4 linked regions of the Elephas maximus indicus genome follow. The protein of the gene in region 1 interacts with the protein of each later gene in a biochemical or structural test. Links are inferred from orthologs where the notes say so. Each region holds a gene or a part of one and is shown in the gene's direction. Other genes may lie near its edges.

Region 1 (7,433 bases):
AATGTTCATGACACATGAGGATGGCATGATGCTGACATGAAGAATGACTGGTCCAGTTGGACCTGCTCTCATTGACATGTCCATGCTTTGGGGAAATACAGGTAAACTAATTAGGTAGAATCTCCTAGAGTCAGTTTCTTTTAATATGTCCTTTGCCAGTTGGGTCCTGAGACTTCAAATGAGACTTCAATTCACACAACTTGTATGCCTGAAAGCTATCTTCTTACATATGCTAATTGCTTCCTATCAAATATGCACATACAGCTATGTACATCTGCCTGTAAACTACATGTCATTATTGTTGTTAGGCTGCAACTCATAGCAACCCTATGTACAACAGAATGAAATGCTGAGGGTTCTGTGCCATTCTCACAACAATTGCGATGTTTGAGCCCATTTTTGCAGCCACTGTGTCAATCCATCTTGTTGAGGGTCTTCCTCTTTTTCATTGAACCCTCTTTTTTGCTGACCTTCCATTTTACCAAGCACGATGTCCTTCTCCAGGGACCAGTACCTCCTAATAATATGTCCAAAGAGAGTCAGTCTTGCCATTCTCACTTCTAAGGAGCATTCTGGCTGTACTTCTTCCAAAGCAGATTTGTTTATTCTTTCGGGAGTCCATGGTGTATTCAATTCAATATCCTTCACCAACACTATAGTTCAAATGCGTTGACTCTTTTTCAGTCTTCCTTATTCATCGTCCAGCTTTCGCATGCAAACGAGCCAATTGAAAATACCATGGCTTGGGTCAGGTACACCTTAGTCCTCAAAGTGACACCTTTGCTTTCTAACACTCTAAAGAGGTCTTTTGCAGCAGATTTGCCCAATGCAATATGTTGTTTCATTTCTTTTTTTATTGTGCTTTAAGTGAAAGTTTACAAATCTAGTCAGTCTCTCATAAAAAAATTTATATACACCTTGCTATATACTCCTAATTGCTCTCCCCCTAATGAGACAGCACACTCCTTCCCTCCAGTCTCTCTTTTTGTGTCTGTTCTGCCAGCTTCTGACGCCCTCTGCCCTCTCATCTCCCCTCCAGATGGGAGATGCCAACATAGTCTCATGTGTCTACTTGATCCAAGAAGCTCATTTTTCACCAGTATCATTTTCTATCCCATTGTCCAGTCCAATCCCTGTCTGAAGAGTTGGCTTTGGGAATGGTTCCTGTCTTGGGCTAACAGAAGGTCTGGGGACCATAATTACCGGGGTCCTTCTAGTCTTAGTCAGACCATTAAGTCTGGTCTTTTTATGAGAATCTGGGGTCTGCATCCCGCTGCTCTTCTGCTCCCTCAGCGGTTCTCTGTTGTGTTACCTGTCAGGGCAGTCATCCGGTTGTAGCCAGGCACCATCTAGTTCTTCTGGTCTCAGGCTGATGTAGTCTCTGGTTTATGTGGCCCTTTCTGTCTCTTGGGCTCATAATTACCCTGTCTTTGGTGTTCTTCATTCTCCTTTGCTCCAGGTGGGTTGAGACCAATTGATGCATCTTAGATGGCCACTTGCTAACGTTTAAGACCCCCGCTGTTTGATTTCTTGACTACTGCTTCTATGGGCATAAACTACATACCCAATGCCACATAGGGCAGTTTAATTAAAACAATGTTTTAACATTTGTGCTCATTGTAAACAGATTTTTTTTTTTTTTTTGCTCCGGAGACTTTTAAAAGACATTTTTGTCCTCTCTCCAATAGTAATATTTTTGGAGTTTCTTCCAGTCAGCTTATTTGCAGAATTGTTTAAACTGATTTTACTGCGGCAATTGGAATGAATGTTTCCATTTTGAAAATGTCTGCTGGAAAAAAATAAAGATTTGAAATTCAAATGAAGGGGGAGATCATTAGACTGTGGTAAGTAAAATGGATGTTTATACTTAATTTTTTTTCAAGAAACATCATCTAAAATAACCATTATTAAATGCTTCCTGGATGGATATAGTAGGTTCTGTGTAAGTCTTTATGGATTTTGATTGATAGCATAGATGTCCTAATTCTCCATTCTCAGTAGACAAGTGTTTATTAAGATGGATCTATCATCTTAGCAACTGAATAAAAAAAACTGCATAGAACCATAATACAGCTCTGCATATCAAGTTAAGCACATAATCCAGTTTTATTTCTGTTCAGAAAAATCGCAATCCAGGGAGAAAGTTTTTATACTTTCTTCCAAAATGAGTTTATTGTTTTTTTAATGATTGCTATGGAAATAAAATCTGATCTCAGTTTATTGCATAATTACATAATACAAATTTTAAAGTTTCCTATATACACAAGTCTATGAGCAGATTTGGCAAATCTGCTGCAAAAGAGCTCTTTAAAGTGTTAAAAAGTAAAGATGTCACTTTGAAGACAACGGTGCACCTGACCCAAGCCATGGCATTTTCAATCGCCTCATACACATGTGAAAGCTGGACAATGAATAAGGAAGACCAAAGAAGAATTGATGTATTTGGATTACGGTGTTGGCGAAGAATATTGAATATACCAGGGACTGCCAGAAGAACAAACAAATCTGTCTTGAAAGAAGTACAGCCAGAATGCTCCTTAGAAGCAAGGATGACGAGACTGTATCTCACATACTTTGGACATGTTGTCAGGAGGGATCTGTCCCTGGAGAAAGACATCGTGCCTGGTAGAGGGTCAGTGAAAAAGAGGAAGGCCCTCAAGAGGTAGACTGACACAGTGGCTGCAACGGTGGGCTCATATACAGCAACAATTTGTGAGGCTGATGCAGGACAGGGCAATGTTTTGTTTTTTTGTATACAGGGTCGCTTTGAGTTGGAACAGACTTGACAGAACCTAAAAGCGTAAGCGCAAGGCTTATATGGGTTAGAACTATATGTATTAAATCAGTGTTTGTCAATGTGATGCTGAATTCTTTCTGGGCAATTTTGCTAATTTTTCAGAGCATTCGTTGTTCAACACCTCCAAGAATAGAGACTTACAACCTCTCTTGATAAAAGGAAACTTGTTATGGTATCAACAGCGACAGTACTGGTTAAACGAGTTACCACAGAGACCCCATTAAGGTGGGATACTTTATACACACAGCATCTCCTCTCTAATTCTCACTGGATTCTTACAAGTTAGTTACTAGGCTTATTTTATAGATAGAGAAACCAAAGTCAAAGAGAGGTATAGTAATTTACCCAAGGTCACACTCTAGGTAAGTGGCTGATCCAGGATTCACACCCAAGTTGTCTCTCTGCCATTAACCCTGTCGCCTCTCAAAAGCAGTACCTGTGTATTATTTACCAACATAAAAGGCAACTACAAAGGGAAGTAATAAATTCAATAAACATAAGCATAACCCTATGTTTTAGGGAGTTCCCTTGGATATTACAAATTAATGATGAGATAATCACACTAGATGCCTCTCATTTAGAAAATATCCCATGACTGAGAAACTCCAAACTTTGTCTCTTTTAATTTTTAAATTAAGTGTTTCTGTGTGGAATAAATTGACTACAAATCCCCAAGACTTTTTTGTCGTCAATATTTCACCTCACAATTTAGCAAACACACACACACGATGAAGTTCCAGGTCTTTCTTTGGGCTTCCACCAGTTTCAAGACTTTGAGAAGTCTCTGAAGTGTCTGTGTGACTAAGGAAAAGAATAGCTGAATCACATCTAAAAGCGAATTCTCGCAATTAGAAGTCTGTAAAAACAATGAAGACAATTAGGCATCCATCTGCCTTTTAACCTTAACACCTCTTCCTCCGTAGCCAACCCAGTCTCACTCCCCCCCGCCTTTCTTTTTTTTTCCTAATTGGGAAATAGGCCCGGAGGCAGGAGGTAGAAGGACCGGCAGCTTAGGCCCGGGTTTCCTTAATCCCGAGTCTATCGGAGCCGGGAATCCTCGGATGCTGTTGGCCGGCAGAAGCAGCAAGAGCGCCGGATGCGGGCAAAAACAAGGCGGGGAGGTGAGCAAAACCAGAATTTGTGAGGGGCCAGAACAGTCAGAGGAGGGTTTAGGAAAAGGGAGCCAGGAGCCTTTTTCCAAGGTTACGGTGGCGTGAGGAGGAGGGAAGGAGCGCCCGGTAGGCAAACTCGTCCACCAGACCCTGGGCGCCGCCAAGCCGCATCCGCCACAGCCACCAGCGTCCGCTAAGCGTAAGGCGGCGCCGCTCAGGGCCCGGCCATAGTCGAGCCTGGCGCATGCGCCGCAGCCCCTCCTCCGCTCCCGGCCCCCTCCCCTCCCTCTTCCCGGCGGGTCTGGGGCGGCGGCGGCGGCGCGGTGACGTCAGGGCGTTGGGGCAGCTCCTGTGACAGACGGAGCTGGAGCGGCGGGGCGGCGGCGGACTCCGGCGGCCGAGATAGCGAGGGAGCGAGCGAACGAGCAGCGACCCGGGGTCTAGGAGCGAGAGAGAGAAGGAGGGGAACGCTCGGGCGCGAGCGAGAGAAACCGCGAGCGCCGGACTTGCGCTCGAGCCCCGGAACGGCAGCGGAGCCCGTCCGCTCCCCTCCCCTCCCCCTCCCCGGGACCGGGCCCAGCGCGCCATCCTCCCCCTCCCTCCTTCCCTCCCTCCCTCCTTCCTCCCTTCCCTCTCCCTCCCCCCTCCCCTGCCGGTGGATGGGAGTGAAGGACGGAAGAGGCCCTGCGGAGGCGGCGGTGCAGCGCTCCGGTAAGGCGGCGAGGGTCTGCGCCCTCCTCTCTGTCTTCTCTACCACGCTCGGGCTGCTGCGGGCCGGGCCCGGCGGCCTGACGATGTGGCTGCGCCGGTCCCCTCCCTCCCATTCTCCCCTCCCCCTGCCGCCGCCTCCTCCTTCTTCTTCTCTCCTCGCTCTCAAAATGGCGGCCGCGACGGCCGTTGAGTGAGAGACACGGGAGGAGGGGGGACAGGCCGGGAAGGGCGCTGGCCTCGCTGCCCTGTTCTCCTGCCCGGGTTCGGGGGTGCCGGGGCCGCCGGGACTCCGCCCGCAGCCCTTCCCGAGAAAAGATCGTCCTCCTCCCCTGGTGACTTAGCAAGAAAAGTATTCTGGGCTAGGAAGGGCGTGGGGAGCAGGTCGCTTTCTGATCTTGGGAAGAAGGTTCGGCTCTTCCCTCCCCGGCCGCGGAAGGCGAGCGCCGCAGTCCCCACCCCATCCGCGGTCGGCGGCTCGGGGACCAGGCTCAGCCCCGCGCCGCCTTGGCGGCCACAGGGCCTTTCAGGCGTTCCGTCCCCCACCTGTCCTTAGGATGGGGTTGACCTGAGGAGGGTGGGCCGCCCCCTTCCTGGTCCCCTCTGCGGTGGTCCACCCTCGGCCCCCACTGAGGGGGAGCGACCCGACCCAGCGACCCATCCGCAGTATCTGTCCACGGCCGGGCAGGATTTTCCTCCTGCCACCGGCTCCTCAAGCGGGAGCTGCCCTTTGACGTTCTGACACTGAGCTTCAAGGCCCTCATCCGTTCCCCTTCATCTAATCTCCCTACACCTTTAGGAAACGCAGTACCCGTATACCTCCTCTAGCCTCCCAGGTGAGAAAAAATGCCTTTGAGGTGGTAGGCAGATTTTAACTCTTAACTACCTCTCTAAACATGAACGTAGAGAGGAGGTTTTCTGTATCGAGATAGGAGAGCGCTAGGTGCCTCGGCTTTATTTCTTATTTTGCCTTTTTTTTTTTTTCAGTGACTTAGCAAGAAACTCCTTGGAAGGAGAGTAGGAAATTGTCTTTTGAGGCTGGGGTTTGCCTCCAATTTATACCAACCCTTTGGTTAAGAAATTGTGCTTTTGAAGAGAAGGACCAGATTTGTGGTCTCCTTCTCAATGGGCGATGTCATGCCAAGCCCTCCCCCTCTCCCTTTTCCTTACGAGGCAATTGGAAGAGAATAAAGATATTGTTATTCTGATCTCTACTTTAGGTACACAATCCCCGAGATTCATAGTGTTTTAAAGATTAAGCAAAAAAAAAAAAAAGCCATTTTATAATACTATTTCTGTTGGAGGGTGAATTGTTTTGTGTGAATTTCATTTTGAGGCTAGGGTGGAGGAGATAGTGCTTGGGCCTTTCATACCAGTGAGGATGTCATCCCTTCCCTTTTGCTACAGTAGTGTTTGCTTAGATTTTTTTTTTTTTTGCTGCAGCAGGGCTTGATTGCTGCAGGGTCCAATCCCTTATCAGGAAAATTTCCTGCTTGGTTATGGTGATAGTGCTATAATGTTGGCTATATATATAAAAAGCTTTTACTTAGCCTTTATTGAAAAAAAATTCCGGTTTGGTTCTAAGGCTTTAGCTAGCCTTTAATCCCTAATTGGTGTCATTTAGGACAGTTTTGCAAAATAATTGTTAGTTGCAAATTGCAGTTTTTATTAAAGCAGAAGAGTAATCTGTAGAGTGATATATTTTTTCATGTCCTATTATAAATGATCATTGTTTGGATTGTTCAGAAAGGGAGGGGATCTCCTAAAACAGATTTGAAGGTTGGTATGTATTTTTTTGAATCAGAGTAAGGAACTCAATTTTTCACGTAAAATATTTCTGCACATGTTGATTTTGATGGAGCAGGCTCTAGTTTGGTGCTGCCCCCACCTCCTTTTAAAAAAAATTGGCTAATATTTATGGATGCTGTGAACAGCCATTGAGAGGAGAAGACTGGGTGGAGTAAGAGAGCAAAAGCTGTGAAATGCTAGCTTGCCCTTTCAATAGCATTTTTCTCTTGCTTATGTTATTTCATGCTAATTCGTGCTACAACAAAGGCGTTTCTCTGTAGTAAGTCTTAAAATCCTCTTGTTTTAAATTTCCCCCTTTTTTGCAAGGGTGGGTGTTGAATGATTTGGGTACAAAGCAGTGTCCCAGCTCTAAAGCAGACACTTATTTTCTGGCTATATATATACACTCTTGTTAATTTTATTGTTTAAGTCAACTAAGTGTAAATTAATGCCAGAAATACTTGGATACAAATAATAATAGAAATATTTTGAAAATCTAATAAGGATGCTACAGATGTTTTCTTTTACTTTAGTTTGTGTTGAAACAGTAAATATTTGTGATTTTTAAATAATGAGCATCAAAGATGAGAAAAAAGGATAAGAAAATTTGCATTAAAAGTCGTTTATTTAAACCTTTTTTCTTGGGTGGCCTTGAAAGGGGCCTTTTTGTAAGGTACTAGCATGAGAGGGTAGGTCACTTTAACGTCTTGTGTCAAGCACTCACGTGAAAGGACATCTTCAAAAGAATTTCAAATTCATGTGATAAATGTGACTTTGATGAGCATTTATGAATGTCAATATTCTTACATTTTTTTACATTTTCATAGTTTTTTAATGTGATTAAAAAGTGGAAGGGCTCATATATGGCGAAGAATGAGAGAGGTTAGAAATGATAGTTCACTGTATTATGTATCTGACATATTCCTATCACTGCTGTCTGTAGCTATAAAAGTGTACCTAAAAGTATGATTTTTCAGTAGATTATTACTTGATCAGGAGCTTAAGATAAGGTGGCTTAAGAGAGCATT
Region 2 (7,457 bases), on another chromosome or scaffold:
AGAGTACTGACACATTCAGGGGTTTGCAACCGATGCCACAAGACAAGCTGTGTACAAATTGTTGAATGGGAAACTAATTCGCTCTGTAAGCTTTCACCTAAGCAACAATAAAATGTCCAAATACAAAGACAGAAAGAAAACCCTGTGGAGCACAGTTCTACTCTGACACACATGGGGTCACCATGTATTGAAATTGACTCAACAGTTTTTTTTCTTTTTTCCTTTTTCTGAAGGAAAAGTTAATGATAATATTCTCTCGTCTGTACAGTACTTTACATTTCTAAAGCACTTTCACAATTATCTCAGTTAGTCCTCACATAACAATGGGGTTAAGGTGTGACTATTCAAGCAGGAGCAACAATCATCATTCTAATAATTGTAATGACTGCCACTTATTGAGCACCTGTGCCAGGCACGGGGCTGCATATTATCTGTAAAATTAAAGAGAGACCAATGAGATAAGGTGTTTGAAAATGCTTTACAGTCCCATGACCAGGGTGCACATGTTTGCTCTTGGTGTGTACAGAGGCCTCAGACTGGTGGAGGTGCGGCTGGGAGATCTGGAGTGCAGAGGGCCTGGCTTTAGGCTTGGAACTGGGAGATAGCCAGCACTAGGCAACTTCTCATTCCTGGAACGCGTCATGCACCTTCATGCCTCAAAGATCTTGTTCATGCTGTTCCTCCTGCCTGGGATGCCTTTCCCTTGCCCAGTCTGTTTGGTAAGCTCCTGGTCACCCTTCTTGGTCTAACTCAGTGTTACTGTCCACAGCCTTCCCGCCTTTCCCTCTCCACCTCTCCAGCAGCATAAATTGCTCCATCTCTGAGTTCCCAGGTCATCTAATCCACACTCCTAATATAGCATTTAGCTCACAGTGCTTGTTATGCATTGAATTGTGTTCCCAAAAAAATGTGTCAGCTTGCCTAGGCCATGAGTCCCAGTATTGTGTGGTTGTCCACCATTTTGGAATCTGATGTGATTATCCTGTGTGTTGTATAAATCCTAACCTTTACGATGTGAATGAGGAAGCATTAGAGGCAGTTATGTTAATAAGGTAAGACAGAATCTACAGGATTATGCTGTATCTTGAGTCAATCTCTTTTGAGATATAAAACAGAGAAGCTAGCAAAGAGGAGTGAGACTTCATACCATCCAGAAAGAAGTGCCAGGAGCAGCACATGTTCTTTGGACCTGGGGTCCCTGCGCAAAGAAGCTCCTGGACCAGGGGAAGATTGATGACAAGGAACTTCTCCCAGAACTGACAGAGAGAGAAAGCCTTCCTGGGGAGCTGGAGCCCGAATTCAGACTTCTAGCCTCGTAGACTGTGAGAGAATAAATTTGTTTGTTGAAGTCATCCAATTGTGGTATTTCTGTTACAGCAGCACTAGATAATTAAGACAGTGCTGTACTTACACACTTAACTGCTGGTGGTAGTGTTCAAACATTGATATGGTCAGAGGTCATTAGAGGAGGCTGACTGGTCATCTAGACGCCATCTTGGGCAAAGTTTATCATCTAGGTGAATTCTTCTGGGTCTAAGATCAGGGCTGGTTTCTCAGGGAGGAGTCACATAAAACAGTGATGGGAATTGACTTATAAAGTCAGAATGCCAATTTAGGGAGGCAGAACTCTAAGACGAAATGGGTAAGTGTGTCGGCTCTGGGGCCAGGCTGCCTGGGTTTGGATCCTGGCTCTCCCTTCCAGATATGTGACCTTGAGCACGTGACCTCTCTGTCCCTATATCTCACCCTCTAAATGGGAATGATAAGAGCATTTACATCATAGGAGCATTGTAAGCAAAAGTCATGGACATTTAATCTATATATCAGGATTAATAAAGACTTCGCAGAGGAAGTAGCATTTGGACTGAGACCTGATGGATAATAATGAGTTGGCTGGCAAAGGCTTAGGAATCAGGACAGGACATTTTAGGAACTGAAAGAAGCCATTGAAGAGGGAGCCTGGTGAGTAAAGGTGGGCTTGGGACAAAATGAGACTGGCGAGGTAGCCAGGGCCCTGATGGTGTTGCTCCTTAGAGGTCGTGCTTGAGAGTTTGGAATTAATCCTGAATGCTATGGCTATCCACTAAAGGGCTAATTTTAAGCAAGGGAGTAACAAGATACGTTTTACATCTTAGAAGGATTGCTCTGGCTGCTGGGTGGGGGATGGATTATTAAAAGGGACAAGAAAAGTAGTAAGGGGACCAGTTAGGAAGCCACAGGAGTAGCTGTCCAAATAAGAGATGTACTGGCTTAGGCTGATGTGGCAGCAGCAGAGATGGTGAGAAGGCAACAGAATCAGGATGTATTTTGGGGAGAGACAGACAGTACTAATAAATGAGTCTAGAACTTGGCTGGAGTCTCTGAGTGACACAAATGGTTAAGTGCTCAACTACTAACCAAAAGGTTGGTGGTTCGAACCTACCCAGAGGCACCTTGGAAGAAAGGCCTGGCAATCCGCTTCAGAAAAGTCAGTCTTGAAAACCCTAGGGAGCACAATTCTACTCTGGAATACATAGGGTCACCATTTTAGTTTAGCATTGGGCTTGAGAAAATGGGTGGAGGTTTTGCCTTTGGCAAATGAGTGCTTGAATGGGGCACTTAAGTCAATGGGGAAGATTTTGGGAAGAATTAATTTGTTGTGTCTATCCAATGGCATACAACAACATGAACAAGGCCCGCTGCCGTGAAGTCAAATCCAACTCATACCAACCCTATAGCACAGACTACAACTGCCCCATAGGGTTTCCAAGGAGCGGCTGGTGGATTTGAACTGCCGGCCTTTTGCTTAGCAGTCGTAGTTATAAACCACTGCACCACCAAGGCTCCACAACAACAAAGGGGGAGTATTAATGTTGGCCATGTTAGTTCTGAGATACCTACTAACTCCAATGGAGGTGTCCAGGTGGCAGTCCAATAGACGAGCCTGGAGCTCACAAGAGGTTTGGGTCAGAGATGTCAATTTGGGCTTCATTAGCATGTAGTTGGTAATTATAACCATTGCATTCAGTGAGATCACCTAAGGAGAGAGTATAGATAAGAATAGAGGAGAGAGCAGTGGCTAGAACCTCCAATATTTACAAGTCTGCGCAGCACAAGACACTGAGAGAGTGTTAGAGAGGTGGAAAGAAAACCAGGTCCCTGTGGTGACACAGAAGCCTAAAGAAAAAAAGAATTTTCAGAAGAAAGAAGGGGTCAACTGTGTCAAATGCAGCTGAGAGGTCAAGTAAGATAATAGTGGTCCATTGACTTTGACAATGTGTAGGCCATCTGATCTTCATCAAACCTCTTAAGAACAGACTAATTAGAATAAGTTGAAGACCAATGGGAGTTGAGGAAGTAGAGAAACAAGTATAGCAAACTTCTAAAAAAGCTTTGCTGTGAATAAGAGCTAAAAAGTGGGGAGGTAACTGGATCAGAAACTCAGTGCACAGACTATTAAAAAAAAGATACTAAAGCATGTTTGTAAATTGATGGGAATGATCCAAAAGAAATTTGTGATGCAGGAGATTAAAAAAAAAAAAAAAAGGATAATTGCAGGGTTAGGATCCCTGAGAAGACTAAGATGGTGAAATTCATTGCATTAGTAGAGGGACTGGCCTTAGGTGACTGGGACCTGTCCCTCACATTAACAGGAGTCAAAGTAGACTAAAGGGCCGGTTCCATGATCACGGAGTCCGAAATGAAAAGGTAGAACCACTTATTAAAAAATCATTAAGAATTTCAAGACTGTGCCAGCAGAGCATCAAACCAAGTGCGAGGCTTTTCAGACCTGGGACCCTGTGCGGCTTTGGCTGCTCATGAAGCCAGCCTTGGTCAAGTATGTGATGATGACAGAAGTAGGCTGTCGTTTGGGCAAGTTTCTTTTTTCTGGGTCTCAATTGCCTCATGGAAGGGTTGGAAGAGATGATAAGGGCACTTTCATCTCAGCTCCACCGTTCTACAAGTAGGGAACAAGGCAAAGGACCAAAGTTTGTGCCTTTTTCACTTCCAACCCCCCCATATTTGAGCCCAAGGCTTTCTGGAAGGCTCCAAAGCATCTGGTGACCATAGCAACTCACGCCAAGCTCCCCAACTCTGGGCTCCGCCCACCACTTCTTGGATTCGCTTATTGATAGGCTCAGAAAGCCGACCAATGGTCGGCGAAGCGGGCTGCTTCATGCGCAGTCAATGGCCGAGAGAGCGGAGGAAGGCGGGAAGGGAAGGGGAGAAGGCGGGCCGGGGCGTGTGGCAAGTGCGTATTTCCTGCTCCGCTGCGGAAGGCGGAGTGGAGCCGTTGGGCCCGAGGCGACCAGGAGGAGCGTGGATCGGCGGGCGACAGTGCTGAGCGCGGATTTCTTAGCGCGGAAAGGGACAGGCGCGATGGGAGGGGAGCAGGAAGAGGAGCGGTTCGACGGCATGCTGCTGGCCATGGCGCAGCAGCACGAGGGCGGCGTGCAGGAGGTAACCGCCCGCGCGGCGTCGGCCCGGCCTGGTCCGGCGGTGCTGGCCCATTCAGGCGGCCCTAGCCACGCTCTCTCAGCCCTTCTCTGCCCTCGAGGCCCGAGAGCTTCCTCCGGGCCTCACTCGCTTCCGGGACCCCCACCCTCCGACATTCCCACCGCTCTTGAGCTTCCGGTCTGGCCTCCCAGCCAGCGTGTCCCACTCCTCGGGTGTCAATCCCGGCCCCATGGCGCCCTTCAGTAACTTCTAACAAAGTAAACGTGGCATTCCTGACCCGACCCTTTCAGATTCTTCCCCCAGAGCCTTGGTATATGCCCTTGGTCTTACACATGCTTCCAGCCCCGGTACCCCATAGGTGGCTGCTTCCAGAGAGCATCCCTTACGACGAGCCATGCCAGACTCTCATTTGCATCTACCACAACTTGTAGTGAGTCGATGAGTGTGTGCGGGGTGTGTGTGGAGCGATGATGTTAGCACGTGGTTTTTCAGGGTGTGAATGGGGGAGTAGGAGGCTTGTTCTCGCAGTTGATTTCCACTACCTGGGAAGCTTGGGACCGTCCCACCTTTCCAAGCCGCATTTTTCTTATCTCTTAAAATGGAGCTGCAAATCCCTGTTTTCCTGAATCGTTGTAGGAGAGTGGTATCTTGAAGAGCAGTGAGGAGTTATAAATAATCAGGCTTGTTCATTCAGCCAGTGTTTGGTGAATAACGTCTGTCAGACACTCACTGGAGCCCTGGTGGCACAGTGCTTAAAAGCTCAGCTGCTAACCAAAAGGTCAGCAGTTCGTATCTACCAGCTGCTTCTTGGAAACCCTATGGGGGCAGTTCTACTCTGTCCTGTAGGGTCACGATGGGTCTGAATCCACTCTGTGAATGAGTTTTTTTTTTTTTTTTTAAGACACTTTTTTTGGACTCATTGGGCTGGGTCCCGGGGATACGGAGGTGAGCAGAAACTTGTCCTTGCCCTGAAAGAGCTTACAAAGAGCTTTTTTAAAAAGCATAAAGCATGCTGAGCGACCCCGCAATAATAACATGTAGTCTGTGAATGGTAAGGATCAACTAGTGTAGATTCTTGAGTTGGTTTTTTGAAGCAGAAATCTGGAAAGTTAGAGGTAGAACAGTTGTTAAAATCAGTCCAAAGCTTCATTTTATAAATAAAGAAATGGAGACCCAGTGACTCCTGACCTCCGCGAGACCAGACTCCGTAGGCCGTTGTACTTTCCACAGTCCTTTTGCTGATTTTCTTCCTCAGTGGGGACAAGTTTTCATTGACCTATCCATTTCCATTCTTTCACTCAGGTGCCTGTTGTGACCAAGGGCTCCCAAGCCCTTTGAGGTGTGGGGGGTGTTACTAATTTGCAAGTGTGAAAAGGCTCCCCCTCCCCCTGTTCCCCTAAATTGTTGACACAATACCAGGTTTGAGAGAGTTCATTTTTGAGAGAATTGATAACATGTCTACCACCCACCCACTGCCCTCAAGTATGAGTATGAGATAACATGTCTAGAAGTTTCAGTTCCCTATTGAAATTATTGAGGTAAATTCTAGCATCAGATTTAGAACCCTTGGGCGAGTAAAATGGCTTGAATGTGCTAACTCTAGATCACCATTAGATCTGTTCATTCAACAAATATTTTACTGAGCATATACTCTGAGCCTGATATGGTGCCAGACATTGGGGATGTAGACAGGCTAAGTTAGTCGTTCCTGCTGTTAGGGGTTCATCCTTTAGCAGTGGGTCTGTTGTGCTGTGCCATTTACTGCTAAGGGCCTTACCTTCATTACCTCATTTATTCCTCACAAGGTGCCCAGAAATGGGTCCTGCTGCTATTCCTGTTTTACAGAGTTAAGAAACTTCCCCAAGGTCACACAGCTGATAAGTATCAGTCTGAAACTAAAACCCACGTGTCTTAGTCATCTAGTGCTGCTATGACAGAAATATCACACCAGGGTGGCTTTAACAAAGAGAAGTTTATTCTCTCACAGTCCAGTAGGCTAGAAGTCTGAATTCAGGGCACCAGCTCCAGGGGAAGGGTTTCTCTCTCTTTCGGCTCTGGACGAAGGTCCTTGTCATCAGCCTTCCCTTGGCCAGGGGCATCTCAGCACAGGAACCTCAGGTCCAAAGGATGCGCACTGCTCCTGGCACTGCATTCTTGGTGGTATGAGGTCGCCCTGTCTCTCTGCTTGCTTCTCTCTTTTATATCTCAAAAGAGATTGGCTTAAGACACTGTTTAATCTTGTAGACCTTGTCAGTATAACTACCACAAATACATCTTATTACATCATAGTGATAGAATTTACAACGTAGAAATCACATCAGAAGATAAAATGATAGACAATCATACAACCATATAAGGGAATCATGACCTAGCCAAGTCGACAGATATTTTTGGGGGGACATAATTCAATCCATGACACCATGCTCTTAATCACCTGGCTACACTGGTAACCCAACCAGAGTCAGCTGGTCTTGACCTTCTTTTAAGTGGTTTCATTTGCGCCCCCCCGTGCCCCCCCCCCCCCCCCCCCGCCCCAGTTCTGCCCTGGTAGTTTAGCCAGCACTACTGATGGGTTTTTTTTTATTTTTCTGGAGAGGAAGGTTGGGCCCAGACATTTTAAGCTCTGGATACAGAGAACTGAATGTTTCACATCCTCAGGCTACATGTAAACACACACAAGAAGTGAGACCTCCCAGATGGTCCAAAGTTAGAGTAAGCTTCCTGGTGGGAGTGACTAAGGGAACTGGAGGAGGGAGATGTCTCAGTTGAGAGGCTCCAAGGTGAGAGAGTTAAGTCCCAAGCTCCCTCCTAGACTAAGGAAGTTGGCTTCTATTTAGTTGAGAGCCTCCCAATATGGCGTCTCCATAGCTTTAGTTTTCTCTCTTTTCTTTCAGCTTGTGAACACCTTCTTCAGCTTCCTTCGACGCAAAACAGACTTTTTCATTGGAGGAGAAGAGGGTATGGCAGAGAAGGTGAGCATTGGGGGCTGCTGTCCCTTGAGCAGCTCTGTCTCTTCAGAA
Region 3 (8,125 bases), on another chromosome or scaffold:
TGGCAGTTCCCTGTGGATATACTGCCACAGATGCTTTTGAATGAACTTCAGCAAAATTTTAATTGTGTGTAATATTAATGATATTGTTTGATAATTTCCACATTTGGTTGGATCACCTATCTTGAGACTAGGCATAAATACGAAATACTTAGAATAGGGGAATGCATGGAGCTAAAAGGGGCTGGGGGGAAAGGGAAATGGAAATTATTACTTAAGGGGTACTGAGGTTCTGTTTAGGGGGGTGAAAACATTTAAAAATAGTGGCGATGGTTGTACAATATGGTGAATGTAATTAATGTCACCAAATTGTCCACTTAAAAATAGTTAAAATGGCAAATGTTTTGTAATATATTACCAGAAAAATTTTTAAAATTTGGGAAAAAAAGTTCATCCCTTTTGTTGCAGAATAGTATTCCATTGTATGGATATACCACAATATGTTTACCCATTCATCTCTTGATAGACATTTGGCTTTTTCCCAGTTTTTGGCTTTTACAAATGAAGCTATGATGAACATTAAAAAACAAAGACACTCTCTTCCATTTTACTGTTAAAATTTTTAAGGTTCTGTTTTTTACATTCAGGTCTTTAAAACATCTGAAATTGATCTTTGTGTATTTAATATGCAAATTTTGTGTATTTAATAAATATACATATACATGTAGTTTACAAAAAAGTTTACAGAGGGCACAAAATTATAAGGTACTAAGAATAAATCCAAAAAATGTGTGTAAGACCTTTATTGAAAAAATCAGAAAACTATATTGGAGAACATATTAAGCAGTGAATAAATGTAGGAATCTAATTTAATTTTTTTGATTTTGAAAACCCTCATTGTACCAATCCCATATATTGAATACTGCATGCTTTCCTTATTCTAGTCAATTCAACAAATGATCCAACGAGCACCTATTATATACCAGACATTGTCCTAGGCACTTAGAATACAGCATTATAAGACAAATTAAAATATTCCTGTGGGTGAATTATATGGTAAAAGAATTACATGTCATTAAAGCTGTTAAAATATACCTGCCCTCATATAACTTATATTCTACTTTGGGGAGATAGATAATAAATAGGTATATTATATAATATGTTGGGAGATGACAAGTGTTAGAGAAAGGATAGAGCAAAGGAAATTGTGAGTGATGGATTTTTGGGGGGCAGGTTGTAACTTCTAATAGAGTGGTTTGGGTTGGTTTCATTGAGAAGTTGACATTTGAGCAAAGCCTTGAAAGAAAAGGAGTTAGTCATGTGAAAATCTGGAGGATAATAAAAACTAATACTTACATCATATACACTATGTGCCATGGTCTGTTCTAAACATTTTACATGTAATAATTCATTCAATACAACTGATACAGGTACTTTTATCATCACCCCCATGTGACAGGAAACTGAGGTACAGGGAGGTTAAGTAACTCACCTAAGGTTACAAGCTGATAACTAGTAGAGTCAGAATTTAACCCAAGCAGTCTGGATCCAGAATCTGTGTTCTCACTACTACACTATTATTTGCCAAGGTCCCATTTAGGCTGATATCTCTTTCTAGGATCTCTTTTGTTCCATTGATCTTTGTCCCCGAGGCTAACACCACATTGTCTTCATTACTATAGCTTTATAATAAATTTGGGTAGGCCAAAGCTCCCCTTGCAATTCTTCTTTTTCATCATTGTCTTAGGTATTTTAGAGCTTTATGTTCTTCCATAAATGTTTTAGAATCAGTTTTTCAGGTTTCACAAAAATTTCTGTTAGAGTTTTTACTGGAAATTCTTCATACATATAGTTTCATTTGGGTAGGATTGATACCCTTACAATATTGCATCTCGATGTCAATGAGCATGGTCTGGCCCTACATTTATTCACTGCTTATTATGTTCTCCTATACAGTTTCCTTATTTTCTCAATCAAGGTCTTAGACATATTTTTTGGATTTATTCTTGTCCTTTATAGTTTTGTGTCCTCTATAAACAACATATATATGTATATTTATTTTTTTCCAAGCTCACTTCCTGTTTACCCCACTCCACCACAGATCCTGCTTTCTGTGCTTCTGGTAAGTGCCATAAACTAATGATTACTTCCTTGTTTGATGGATGGTCTTTTTTCCTTACCTGTTCTTTAAGCTGAGTTCGGTTAACCCAGATTGTAGTATATCAAGAAAAATCTAAGCCCTTCTTCTTCATGATTTTTGCAAGATGCATGTTCTTGCCCCTTTTTCCTCGATGAGTCTTTTAGCCCCTCAGGGGCAGTGATGGATATCTCATACTCTGCACTCACTGTGCCTGTATTACTGGGCACATGGTAATTGCTCAAAGGGACTTATTGCTAAATTACTCACAATAGGATTACTGGGCTTTTCCTTCAATCTCTTCATTCTATTGAGCCTGCTTCTGTGACTATCCCTTGATCTTCAACAGTGACTTCCATATTTAAAGATGCAGTTTCCCACTTATGCCTGAGATCTTCTATTCTGCCTGTAGCCCTTCTCCTCTGAGAAAGTGAGGAAGAAGATGTTGGTGAATAACTTAGAATTCTTTGAAAAGAAATGTCTTTATTTATGAGATGATCTAGTCAAGATTTTGTAAAAGCTTTTCTACAGAGTATTAGCCTATGGGATGCTCAGGGCTGGGGTAAAGGACCTATGATTTAGAAAAAAAAAAGTGGGAAGCCCTTTATACTAAATTGTCTTCTTGGAGACATGTATCATATTATAAGTATATTAAAGGCTCTGAGAAGTCTTGTGATAAAGAGAATTGTTTAACTTTGTTTAGCCCATCTTTTCTTAAAAGTTTTCTTAAAGGTTTTTGACCAAGTAAAGTTTTCACTTTACTTAGATCCACAATCAACACCCATGGAAGAAGCAGTCAAGAAATCAAAAGACACATAGTACTGGGCAAATCTGCTGCAAAAGGCTTCTTTAAAGTGTTAAAAAAGAAAGATGTCACCTTGAAGCCTAAGGTGAACCTGACTCAAGCCATGGTGTTTTCAATCGCCTCATATGCATGCAAAAGCTGGACGATGAATAAGGAAGACTGAAGAAGAATTGATGCCTTTGAATGGCATTGGTGAAGAGTTTTGAATATACCATGGCCTTCCAAAAGAACAAACTAATCTGTCTTGGAAGATGTACAGCCAGGATGCTCCTTAGAAGCAAAGATGGAGAGACTACGTCTCACATATTTGGACATGTTATTAGGAGGGATCAGTCCCTGCAGAAGAACACACTTGGCAAAGTAGAGGGTCATCGAAAAAGAGGAAGACCTTGGATAAGATGGATTGACACAGTGGCTGCAACAATGGGCTCAAGCCTAACAAGGATTGTAAGGATGGCGCAGAACCGGGCAGCGTTTCGTTCTGTTGTACATAGAGTCACTATGAGTCATAATGGGCTTGATGGCACCTAACAACAACACACTGATATGTAAGAAAAAAGAAGTTTTGAGACATTAGTCTCACTGGGCGATGAAATTGCAACTGCTAGTCTACCACTGTTTGGAATTTTACACATTTCCCTGCTGCTATTCCTTGATATTTCTCTGCCTCTGATCAGAATAACCCTGATTTATGAAGAGGTCGCCACAATGTAAGGTAGAAACACATGGAAGGGAACAAATTAGACAGATGCACTCCTTTGATGCACTTATTTAGGAACCAGGAGAGCAGTAGAAAGGTGTTGGGAGGACTTGACTGGGCATTTGAGGTTTTACTAACATATATAGCTTAGGCTTTGCTGAACCCACACTTTCCAGAGAAGGAAGACACTAATATTTTTATTTCACTTTGAGACAACTTACAGTAAGACACATGTGCAGAAATTACTTAAATATGAAGAAAGCAACAGCTAAAAAAAAATATAAAAGGGAGGGCTAATTATACTAGGAATCAGATATAAAAAATTAAGGAACAAGCTATTAGCGCTGAGCTTCCTGGAAGCCAGGTAAAAATGGAATCATGACTGTTACATATTAATTAGTTCAAGACTGTTACATATTAATTCATGTAGCCTCAATTGTAAAGATGGAATGGAGCCCACTCGCCCTTTACTTTCTCACCTTTCTCTTCTTTTTCCTGTAGTTTGGTCTGATCCAATGAGTTCAGTTTTGATGCTTCCTTGCTCTTAATAACATACTTGATAAAGAAGACAATTAGTGGCAAATAGTTTGAGGAGAGATCTATTAATGTTTTTTTTTATGCCATCAAACCTTCTTTACATAGAAAGGTCTCTGAGTTGGATTTGAACTGCCAAACTAGAGGTAAAGGCCATAGATACCATTAACCAAATTCTTACACCCAGCTGAAAGATCTTTGGAGCCCTTTTCAACCTCATTCTCCATGAAAATTTGGAACTATTTTCCACTTGTCTTACACCTTTCCCGCTCCCTCTTAGTATACTCTACTACCTCCATTTACAAAATAACCAGTTGTTGGATGAATGAGCTAAAATGTCTTAAAGAATTTGCAAATTTGATTGTTTTCTCTCAAGGGAGTGGTAGGAAGAGAGCTACAATCTTAGAATCCAGCTTTGGCTGTCTGAATCTGGCCCCCAGGCTGATTAGGCCAAGGATTTGGCCAAGTGAATTTTTCAATTCTCTAAAAGAAAGAGCTAGCACATTGCTCATTAGAGCATTCTGAACTTGCCTGTGCAATCTTTTTGCTACCCTGCAATTTCCTCTTGGTTATAAATGAAACCTTTCTAGCTGTTAATGCAGCTTGTGATTTGAAAAAAAAAGCCTGTAATTAATCATAGGAGGTTGGGGGGATTCACTAAGCCTGAGTTACATGGGAGAAGCTGGACAAGGCACTAGGACCTAGAAGGCATCTATCCACCCTGGCAGGAATTTCTTGCTTGGAGCTCAGACAACAAAGGCATAGAGAGATTGGTTTTCTTTCTCTCAGCATCTCCACCCAACCAGCAGAAAACCGGTGAGTGGGGCTTTCGAGTGATTTTCAGGCAGAATGTAACAGATGTCAAACGGGAAAAGCACAAGGCAAAGCTAGTTGTCTCTCTGTATGTGTGTCTTTCTCTCTCTCCTTTTTTTCTTTATTCAGTTGGATTTTGTCCTAAATCTCTACCTGGGATTTTCCTTTGGAAAAGTGAGTTTGACATTTCTTTGTTTTCAATGTAATGTTGATTTAAAATAATACCACCCCTGATTCTAAAGCAAAGCAAAGCAGAACGGAACTGGCATGTCTGGGGAAATGCTTGCTACTCGTCTTGAGGAGGTGGGGTCTTTTACCACTGCAGGTTGTCTGACAGAGACAATGCTGAGCTCAGCACAGGTCATGGTGACATTGGAAGAAAAGAGGGACTGAGCCTGGCAAACCTACTAGGCACCAGTCCCTCTTTATCTTCTATCCTCCTGGTTCCCTTGCAAGTATCTCCATGTGGCAGTGTGTAGCAGCTGAGCCCTGGTTGCTTTGTGAGTCCTTTTATCCCCATCTGTGAGATGCATGTTCATAGTTTGGTTCCTAGGTTGTCACTACATTTGCTGGCATTTGGGGGCTTTGATTGTATTTGGTTTCATATTTTGATTTTTTTTTTTTTTTTTTTTGGTTCAGCAGTAAAGGAAAAAGCAAAGCCTGACAAATGACCATCTTCTGCCTCAGTTAACACACCTGGGCAATAGATAAGTTTGGGGTGAATTGCCTGCTGTGAGGGCAAAATGCCTCTTCAGTCGGGGTAGAAACACAGAACAATGAAAGGTGTGCTTGCTTCTAAAGGTCTCATATGTCATTCAGGGACTCATTTGGGAGTCTTTCAACAATTAAATTATTCTATTAAGAGGCGTGGATGCAGCGCTAGGGAGGGGATGGGGCACCTAAAAAAAAGAAAAGGATTTTGTGACCAAATGGTACCAAGGGGAAAGCAGAGCTAATAACTCATTAAATAACTGATTTTTCTAATCCTTTTTTTTTTTTTTTTCTCAGCGTATTTCTATGAATGTCTGATAGCTGCACCAGCTTGGTAGGGAAAGGGTTTGATGAATAGCACAAAGAGGCTGGCTATTCCCTGGAGGCTGTCCCTTTAAACAAGAATCCTAGTTTATTCTGGGGGGAGGGGATGCACACATTAGAGTAGGAAAGAGGGTTTGGAATAAAATTAAAGCGCTCCTCTTCATAGTCATTGTCCTGAGATGCAGAGACTGCTTCCTAAGCTAGAGATGCTAACCTTGGCTAGTTCCTTCTGTTGTCTTCAAGGGGAATTTTGTCAGGCTATGAATTCATTTACAACTGTTAGTCATGTGGGCATGTGTGAGGAAACAGATGCCAGTTTTAATGCATTTAGCCTGAAGTTACAATTTGATAGGAGCCACTGTCAGTAAGTCCCAGGGTTTTAAGCTATTCCAAAATCCCTCCTCCCCTCTGCTTGGAATAGTGCCAAACGTGCCTCCCTCCCTATCTCTTACCCCCAACCCCCACAACTACCAGCACCCCCAGCCTCTCCCAGCCCCTCCTTCTTCTCTATTCAGATCAATATTCCTGCAGGTCAGTGGCAAGCAGCAGATGGGTCACGGGCTTTTTCAACCAGGTCTTTTCACAGGCAGCAGGTTGCGGATCTGGATCTGGCTAATATTTAAAATCCCTCCCCCCTCCTTTTTTCCTTACCCCTTTTTCTTTGCCTCTCTTTACCCACCCCCCACCCCAACCCCTTTCTCCAACACTCAGGTCTCTGAGGTTCCACCAAAATATGGAACTTGATTTTGGACACTTTGACGAAAGAGATAAGGCATCCAGGAACATGCGAGGCTCACGGATGAATGGGCTGCCCAGCCCCACTCACAGCGCCCACTGTAGCTTCTACCGAACCAGAACCTTGCAGGCACTGAGCAATGAGAAGAAAGCCAAGAAGGTACGTTTCTACCGCAATGGGGACCGCTACTTCAAGGGGATTGTGTACGCTGTATCCTCTGACCGTTTTCGCAGCTTCGACGCCTTGCTGGCTGACCTGACTAGATCTCTGTCCGACAACATCAACCTGCCTCAGGGAGTACGTTACATATACACCATTGATGGATCCAGGAAGATCGGAAGCATGGATGAACTGGAGGAAGGTAATTCAAGGAGTGGGTGGTTGTCCTTAGTGGGAGGTGGCACAATGATTAAGGTTCTATTTTTTTAATTTCATGGAAAGAAATTAGGAAGTATATTTGTCAAGACACCAGGTTGATGCTCAGACTTCTCATTCTACACGCCACTAGCAACCACTCTCTACGGCCTTCAGTTTCTGCCAGCTGGGGTTGAGGTGTTGGTGCTGGTGATAATGTATTGTGCTTCTCTGCTGTGGTATATAAAGAAAAATCTGAATTGTGGTGTTTACTCTAGATCTTGTTCATAATTACCCTGTGTAGCATTATTGAGGCAGACCATATAATCATTACGGGTGTAACAAAGAGGGAAGGTTGGTTGAGTTAACAGAGAGAAGGTTTTATACCCAAGTTTCCTGTGAACTGCTAAGAGACTATTTGGTGAATTGCAACTCATTGGAAATATGTACCCTAAAAGCAGGACTTCCTGGACATATTCACAGAGGATTATACTTTTAGGTAAGTGGTCACTGCTCAGCTGTTGCTTCTAAAAAGCCCACTCCAGGGTGTGTCCCTTAGGCTGAGGTCATTGAGAGAAATACCAAAGAAAGCTGTAGGTATGTCTGGTATTTTAATGAAGACCATTCCTATTAGAATAGGAACTGACTCACTGTACCCAAATCCCTTTAAGTCTGCTCTAGATTTTGGTTTTTTAACTATATTTTCTGGCAAGATTGCTGAAAATCCAGACAACCTGTGAACCTACTGGAAAATAGGGAAAATCCAACCTCTTACCAAAACTGCTCAGCTGTAAAGTCTCCTTTGTGATCATTTAGAAAATAAATCTTGGAACGCATCCTTAATATTCTACTTTAGCAAACCAATTTTATTGAGGGTGCTTTCCTACTTCCACTTTTAAATTGGTAAGTATAACATATGGGATCATTTTAACCTGACACAATGCTTTAAAAGACAGCAACAATAATAAAAATGTTCCCCTGGTTCCCTCCCCCACTCGCCAGCCTTCCCTCCCAGCTCCCTGCATTCCCTGAGCAAAGAAAGGTGAGCTTAGAGCAAGTAGATCTTTAAGGAAA
Region 4 (7,277 bases), about 6.9 Mb from region 1:
TAGCCTAAAAACCAAATCCATTGCTGTCTAGTTGATTCTGACTCATAGCGACCCTATACTACAGGACAGAGTGGAACTGCCCCATAGGCCTTCCAAAGCAATAATCTTTACAGAAACAGACTGCCACATCTTTCTCCTGTGGAGCCACTTGTGGATTCAAACTGCTGACCTTTCAGTTAGCAGTCAGGTGCTTAACCACTCTGCCACCAGGGCTCAGTTTCCATCTTGGCCAAACATCCAAAATGTATGTAAAACTGCTACAACTTAACAACAAAAAGACAAGCAACCCAATAAAAAAATGGGCAAAGAACTTGAACAGGCAGTTCACTAAAGAGGATATTCAAAAGATCAACCCCCACAAAAAACCCATTGCCGTCAAGTCAATTCCGACTCATAGTGACCCTACAGGACAGAGTAGAACTGCCCCGTAGGGTTTCCAAAGAGCACCTGGTGGATTCAAACTGCTGACCTTTTGGTTAGCAGCCGTAGCTCTTAACCACTATGCCACCAGGGTTTCTAAATGATCAACAAGCACATGAAAAGATGCTCGACATCATTAGCCACTAGGGAAATGCAAATCAAAACCATAATGGATTTCATCTCACCCTCATTAGAAAAAAAAAAAGGAAAACAAGAAGTGTTGACAAGGTTGTGGAGAAACTGGAACCCTCATCTATTGTTGGTGGGAATGTAAAATTGTGCAACCACTGTGAAAAAACAGTTTGGTGGTTCCTCAAAAAGCTGAGCGTAGAATTACCACGTAACCCAGCAATCCCAGTCCTAAGTATGTATCCAGAAGAAGTGAAGGCAGGAATGCAAACAAAAACCTGCACACCAGTGTTCATCGTAACACTTTTCGCAGTTACCAAAAGGTGGAAACAACAGAAAGGGACATCAACAGGTGAATGGATAAGCAAAATGTGATAGTATACGTACAAAGGACTATTACGCAGCCGTAAAGAGAGAGGAAGTTCTGACGTATGCCACAACATGGATGAACCTTTGAAAATGTTATCCTGAACCAAATAAGTCAGCTGCAAAAGGACAAATTGTACCTAATCTCATTTATATGAAATAAGCAGATATCTAGAAACCAAAGATTATTAATGGTTACTAAGGGGAAAGAGGGAGTTTTTGTTTTGGGGGCTGTTATGGGTTGAGTTGTGTCCCTCAAAATATATGCTGTAAATTCTAATCCGTATGCTTGTGGCAAAGAATATTGAATATACCATGGACTGCCAAAAGAGTGAACATATCTGTCCTGGAAGAAGTACAATCAGAACGCTCCTTAGAAGCAAGGATCTCACATACTTTGGACATGTTATCAGGAGGGAACAGTCCCTGCAGAAGGGCATCATGCTTGGTAACGTAGTGGGTCAGCGAAATAGAGGAAGACCTCCAATGAGATGGATTGACACAGTGGTTGCGATAATGGACTCAAGCATAACAACGATTGTGAAGATAACACAGGACCAGGCAGTGTTTTGTTCTGTTGTACACAGGGTCGCTATGAGTCCAAACTGACTGGACAGCAACTAACAACAACAACATACTTGTGGATATAGTTCCATTTGGGAATGAGTTTTCTTTGTTATGTTAAGGAGAAAGTATTAGTATAGGATGTGTCTTAATTCAATGTCCTGAGATATGAAAGAGCAGATTGAGCAAGCAACTAGGCAGGCAAGCACAGATGGAGGAAGACAGACGCCATGCCATATGAGATCTCCAAGAAGCAAAGAAAGAGAAACTGAAAAATGACAAGGATCTTTCCACTGAGCCGACACAGAGGGAAAGCCTTCCCCTGGAGCTGGTGACCTGAACTTGGACTGCTAGCTTCCTTAACTGCGAGAAAGCAGATTTCTGTTTAAAGTCATCCACTTGGGGTGTTTCTGTTGTAGCAGTGCTAGATAACTAAGACAGGGGGCAATGAATTTATGTTAATGATGGTGGAATGTTTTGGATGAGGATAGCGATAACGGTGGCAGAACATGAAAAATGTAATCAGTGTCACCGAGTTGCAAATGTGGAAGTTGTTGTTTTGGTGGACATTTTGGGGTGTATGTTTTCACCACAATTTTTAAAAAAAAAAAGAGAGAGAGAGAGAAGAGGGTGCCATCCTAGCTATCAGAATGTCCATAGTCTAAGAAGAGGGTCAGGAAGGTGAGGACAGAGAACCAGGAGGATAGGTCTCCTATCAGCAGGTGGCTAACCTCAGGGCTGCTTTCAAGGGAGATGTAAGGATGCTATGGAGTCCCTGGGTGGTGCAAATAGGTAATGCACTGGGCTGCTAACCAAAAGTTTGGAGGTTTGAGCCCATCCAGAAATACCTCAGAAGAAAGACTGGACAATCTTCTTCCTAAAAATCTGCCATTGAAAACCTTATGGAGTACAGTTCTCCTTGGGGACACATGGGGTTGCCATGAGTAGGAATCTACTCAAGGGAAACTGGGTAAGGATGCTGCAGGCTCAGCAAGCTTCCTTCTAGAGATGTGTGGGATGGGTGGGAGCAGGACTTCCAGGCAGATAGAGCTGTGGCTTTTAGCACACTCCCGCATTCCACATCCCTGTGGGTATTAGGGAATTTTCAGAGCAGCTGAGAACAACTAAGGGTTCTCTGGCCCTGGCACTGCCCTCATGCAAAGCATTTGCACAGCGTGCAAAACATCAGCCCCACGGCTGTGGCTTCCGCAGCTGAGTTTACCTGCGTGCTTTGTTTCCTTACTATCTCTGAAGTCCACGGATATTTATGGACTAACTTCCGGTGCTCTGCTGGAGGCTCCTGGGGACACAGAGGGAAACCTGTGCAGTCCCTACCCTCACAGAGTGATCTTGGGGAGAAAAAAACATCATCATGGCAAAGTAATGATTAATGAAGGACCTCGGTAGCAGCTCTTAACAATGGTGCTTCTTCTCTAAAGCTAAACCCACTGCCATTGAGTCAATTCTGACTCACAGAGACACTATAGGACAGAGCAGAACTGCTCCATAGGGTTTCCAAGGCTGTAAATCTTTGCAGAAACAGACTGCCACATCTTTCTCCTATGGACCTGGTGGTGGGTTCAAACCGAAGACCTTTTGGTTAGGAACCGAGTGCTTTAATCACTATGCTACCAGGATGAGACTCATTAACAGATGAAACCTACAGTTTTTGGAGAGGTGAGAAGTGTTAGGTGACTTCAGGCTAAAGTTTTCTGATCTGGTAAAGACTTAAAAGTGGGTCGAATTTGGAAAGGCAGGGGACAACCACTAACAGCTAAAAGGGACTAATTGGATCTGTACCAAGCCAATTACACACATTTTCTCATTTAAGTCCTACAACAATGCTAAGAGGTATCATCTGGTATTATCTCCATTTTATAGACGGGGAAAATGAGACTCAGGGATGACAAGCAGCTTGCTCTTGGTCTCACAACTAAAAGCGGCAGGTCAAGTCTATCTGACTTGAAGTTCATGCTGTTATGTACCACATCATGTACTATGCCTAGTTCTGAGCTGGGCCCCCTTGGGGATAAAAACAAGGGTGATGTCTGCTTATCAATTACCCTCAATAAGCTTTTTTTCTTCCCCTTGCCTGCACCCTCCAAATACAGGGACAGAAGCAGGAAAGTGGGGGTGGGATGGGGAGAGGACAGAACATTTGTCTAGAAGAGCAGTGGGCTACATGCCTGCAGTGGAAACAGGGGACCTTGAAGGCCTGGCTAAGAAGTTCACACACACACCAGTTGCCATTGAGTCAATCTGAACTCATGGCGACCCCATATGTGTCAGAGTAGAGATACCTCCACAGAGTTATCAACAGCTGATTTTTTGGGAATAGATTCATGCGCCTCTGGGGGGACTTGAACCTCCAACCTTTCTGTTAGCAGCTGAGTGTGTTAACCGTTTGCACCACCCAAGGACACCGGCTAAGGAGTTAGGGCTTTTTTTTTTTTCCTCCCCAAACACTGAAGACTTGCTCAACCTCAGCTGAGCAATAAGTCTGACAGGGTTGCCTCGCTTCTAGATGGCAGGGTGGCCCCAGTCTTCCTGGTCGTAACCCACTTCCTGTTCTTGCGCCTCTTTTGTCAGATGGTGATCTTCACCCTTCCTGTTGACTGCTACTTTGTTTTATCTGGTCCAGGGTGGGCCCCTGTGTGCTGCCGTCGATGCAATCAGCGGACACCTGGGACACAGAACCAGGTACACTGGGATGATGGGGAGTGGGAGGTCTCATTGGAGAAGTTCTGGGCCAGGTGAAGGCCAGCCTAAGAGACACCAGGGAAGGAGGCTCCTGGTGGTCTGAGGACCCCCTCTGCTTTTGTGGGGGTGGGATGGTCGAAGGCTGAGGTTAGTTTTTGCCCTGCGATGTTAGTTATGTCCTCGTGGGGGTGAAACAAGGGGTTTGCTTTGGTGGCATTCTGAAACCACCTGGTCTGCCCACATCTCCCAAAGATTCGGATCCCCTTGCTTTGGTTTTCTGTTTCCTGGACCGGCCAGGTAGTGCTTTTCTGGATTGCAGAGGGAGCTCCGTGTGTTGAGACAGGTTTATCTGGTGCTGACTGGACACCTTCAGTGTGACGCACTGAAATAGAACTGAGCTGACCACATTAGGGGCTTCTCCACTGAGCCTGGTTTCTCCTCTACAAAATGGCAAAATGTCCCTATTTTCTGTGATACCGAAGTGGGGCAATGATTGTGAAAGTGTTTCATGAACTTTAGGATTGTATTCTTCAGGGTTTGGGGTTACTTTTATTTTCTAAATGGAACTAGGTGTATTTTTTCCTGGTAATATATGACAGCTGGAAAAAATCAAACAATGCAGAGAAAATGAAAATCGTCACATAATCCCATCCCCAGAGATTGCTGCTATTAATACATTGGTGCATAGACTTCTACACTTTTAGAACTAGTTTTTTTTTTTTTTATGTCTAAGTTTACTTACTGTCCTGAAACCTTTTTCCACTTAATAATATCTCTTGAATATCATCTCATGTTAATTCATGGGCATTTACCTTGTCCTTCTTAACAGCTGTGTTTTGTTCCATTGTGTGGCTGTACCATGGATTATTAAATCAGTCTGCTATCTATTGATGGGTATTTAATCATTTCAACTTGTTGCTATAATAATAAACAATGCTGTAGTGAATTGTTAGTTGTCGTCAAGTCTGCACTGACTCACGGAGACATTACAAGTAACAGAATGAAATGCTGCCCGGTCCCGCGCCATCTTTACGAATGTTGGTATGATTGTTACGGGTATTGTGTCAATCCATCTGACTGAGGGTTTTCTGTTTTCACTGACCATCTGCTTTACTTTATATCTTTGCACTAGTTCCATTATTTCCTTAGAATAAATTCTTAGAACTTGAATTGCTGGATGAAAGGTTATATGTTCATTTATAGTTTTGATTCATTTGTCTGGATTCCCCTAGGAAAAGTCATACTATTTTATTATTTAAAATTTAGTATCTACTTTTATTAAAGCAACACAAAGCTTTCAATGAAAAATAGCTATTCCTTGCCCTATCTCCCCTCTTCAACGTTCTCCCTACCAGAGAGAAACACTTTCAATTCTTACAGTTACTTCTATTTCCAGGTGAGTTGCCTATATGGCTATTTTTTTATTTTAGTCATTATCTTTCATTAATAATTTATTGACTTCTTATTATGAAACCTATGAATGTAGCACTCTTACTCCACCCTATCTCCACATTATTGCTTCTCTATCCTTCTAATATATTTATATCACAAATTTTGGTTAAATCGATATTCACATTTACATTATGTATGTTGTTATGACTATGTAAAAGTTATCTTCTGAGTTATATAGTATATTATTATTGTTTCCTTTCTTTGACAACTCTTTGTTTTCCCTGGAGTTGATAATTGCCTCAGTTTTTCATTTGCTTAGTCTTTACATATGTATATATCACTGATGGCTCTCAATATGATCAGATCTATCAGTTTCTATATTTTTTCCTTTTTTAAAAAATTCCTTACAGACACCTTCCTGAAGCCTCATGCTATTGCTCTAATCTGAATTGGTTGTTCTCTAGGCCTACTGCATAGTGTTGTCCTGGGAAATCCCTTAGCATCGTCCTAGAATCTTCTGCGCTCTGCATCCTACATTTTCCTCTTCATTTACTACCTCATTTTGGTGTCACACATCTTCCAATACATAGGAGGTAATTTTTTTCAGATTCTGACTGAAAAAAATGCCTTTATTCTATTAAGAGTCTAGCTAAGGTTTAGAATACTGAGTTGGAAATAAATTTTCTCTCAGAATTTTAAAGGCAATGCTCCATTGTCTTTAAGCTTCTAGTCTATTTTTGAGAAGTCTGTTCTGATTCCTAATCCTTCATATGTGGCCTGGATTTTATCTCAATGGTGGTTTTTAGGATTTTCTCTTCATTTCTGGGGCTCTGGAATTTTATCAGGGCGTACTTTGCGTGTGTGTTTTGTCATTCATTGTGCTGGACACTTGGGAGACCTTTTCAATATAGATACTCATGTCATTCAATTCTGGGAAAAGTTCTTGGTTATTAGTATTTAAAAAATAATTTCTTCCCCTTTATTGTCTCTGTTCTGTTTTTCTGGAACTCCTGTCATTTGACTGTGGGACTTTTGGGCTTACCCTCTCATTTTTCTTATTGTGCTTTAGGTGAAAGTTTACAACTCCAGTTAATTTCTCATACAAAAATTTATATGTGTATTGCTATGTGACATCAGTTGCAATCCCTATAATGTGACAGCATGCTCCCCCTTTCCATCCTGGGTTTCTTGTGTCTATTCAACGAGTTCCTGTCCCTTCCTGCCTTCTCATCCTGCCTCTGGACAGGACCTGCTTATTTGGTCTCATGTATCTGCTTGAACTAAGAAACAAACTCTTCACAAGTATTATTTTATGTTTTAATTTCTCTCAGAATTTTAAAAGCAATGCTCCATTGTCTTTGTGAGTTTCTAGTTTATTTTTGAGAAGTCTATTCTGATTCCTAATCCTTTGTATATGGCCTGGTTTTATCTCTATGGAAGTTTTTAGGATTTTCTCTTTACCTCTGGGGTTCTGGAGTTTCTCCAGGATGTGCTTTCTGGACTGGGACAGGGGTAATTGCCTTTGCTTGCCGATTATTTTGGCTGTAAAGTAAGTCCCTATCTGCTTTGTAAACACATCTGACTTTCAACTGAGCTTCCTGTTTTTAGCCCCACCCCACCCTGCCTTCTGACGTGGCTAGTACCTTCAAGTCTCCTTTTTAGGGTTCAGAGGCATGACACTGCTTCTTCTGGTTGCCATTTTGTTT

Evidence for each region.
Region 2: the proteins of PAFAH1B1 (region 1) and NUDC form a complex in vitro, tested with the Homo sapiens proteins (3 studies listed by BioGRID). The link is inferred for Elephas maximus indicus from reciprocal best matches to the Homo sapiens genes PAFAH1B1 and NUDC.
Region 3: the proteins of PAFAH1B1 (region 1) and DCX form a complex in vitro, tested with the Homo sapiens proteins (2 studies listed by BioGRID). The link is inferred for Elephas maximus indicus from reciprocal best matches to the Homo sapiens genes PAFAH1B1 and DCX.
Region 4: the proteins of PAFAH1B1 (region 1) and NDEL1 form a complex in vitro, tested with the Homo sapiens proteins (3 studies listed by BioGRID). The link is inferred for Elephas maximus indicus from reciprocal best matches to the Homo sapiens genes PAFAH1B1 and NDEL1.

What each region holds. Positions count from the first base shown.
Region 1 is NC_064837.1:19,204,573-19,212,005, reverse strand, and holds the start of PAFAH1B1 (platelet-activating factor acetylhydrolase IB subunit beta), read left to right. Parts: upstream 1-4,241; 5' UTR 4,242-4,620; intron 4,621-7,433. UniProt on the Homo sapiens protein: Regulatory subunit (beta subunit) of the cytosolic type I platelet-activating factor (PAF) acetylhydrolase (PAF-AH (I)), an enzyme that catalyzes the hydrolyze of the acetyl group at the sn-2 position of PAF and its analogs and participates in PAF inactivation.
Region 2 is NC_064821.1:67,363,326-67,370,782, forward strand, and holds the start of NUDC (nuclear migration protein nudC), read left to right. Parts: upstream 1-4,248; 5' UTR 4,249-4,359; coding exon 4,360-4,440; intron 4,441-7,331; coding exon 7,332-7,409; intron 7,410-7,457. UniProt on the Homo sapiens protein: Plays a role in neurogenesis and neuronal migration. Necessary for correct formation of mitotic spindles and chromosome separation during mitosis. Necessary for cytokinesis and cell proliferation.
Region 3 is NC_064846.1:46,102,349-46,110,473, forward strand, and holds the start of DCX (neuronal migration protein doublecortin), read left to right. Parts: upstream 1-4,910; 5' UTR 4,911-4,929; intron 4,930-6,672; 5' UTR 6,673-6,694; coding exon 6,695-7,058; intron 7,059-8,125. UniProt on the Homo sapiens protein: Microtubule-associated protein required for initial steps of neuronal dispersion and cortex lamination during cerebral cortex development. May act by competing with the putative neuronal protein kinase DCLK1 in binding to a target protein.
Region 4 is NC_064837.1:12,341,026-12,348,302, reverse strand, and holds the start of NDEL1 (nuclear distribution protein nudE-like 1), read left to right. Parts: upstream 1-4,075; 5' UTR 4,076-4,179; intron 4,180-7,277. UniProt on the Homo sapiens protein: Required for organization of the cellular microtubule array and microtubule anchoring at the centrosome. May regulate microtubule organization at least in part by targeting the microtubule severing protein KATNA1 to the centrosome.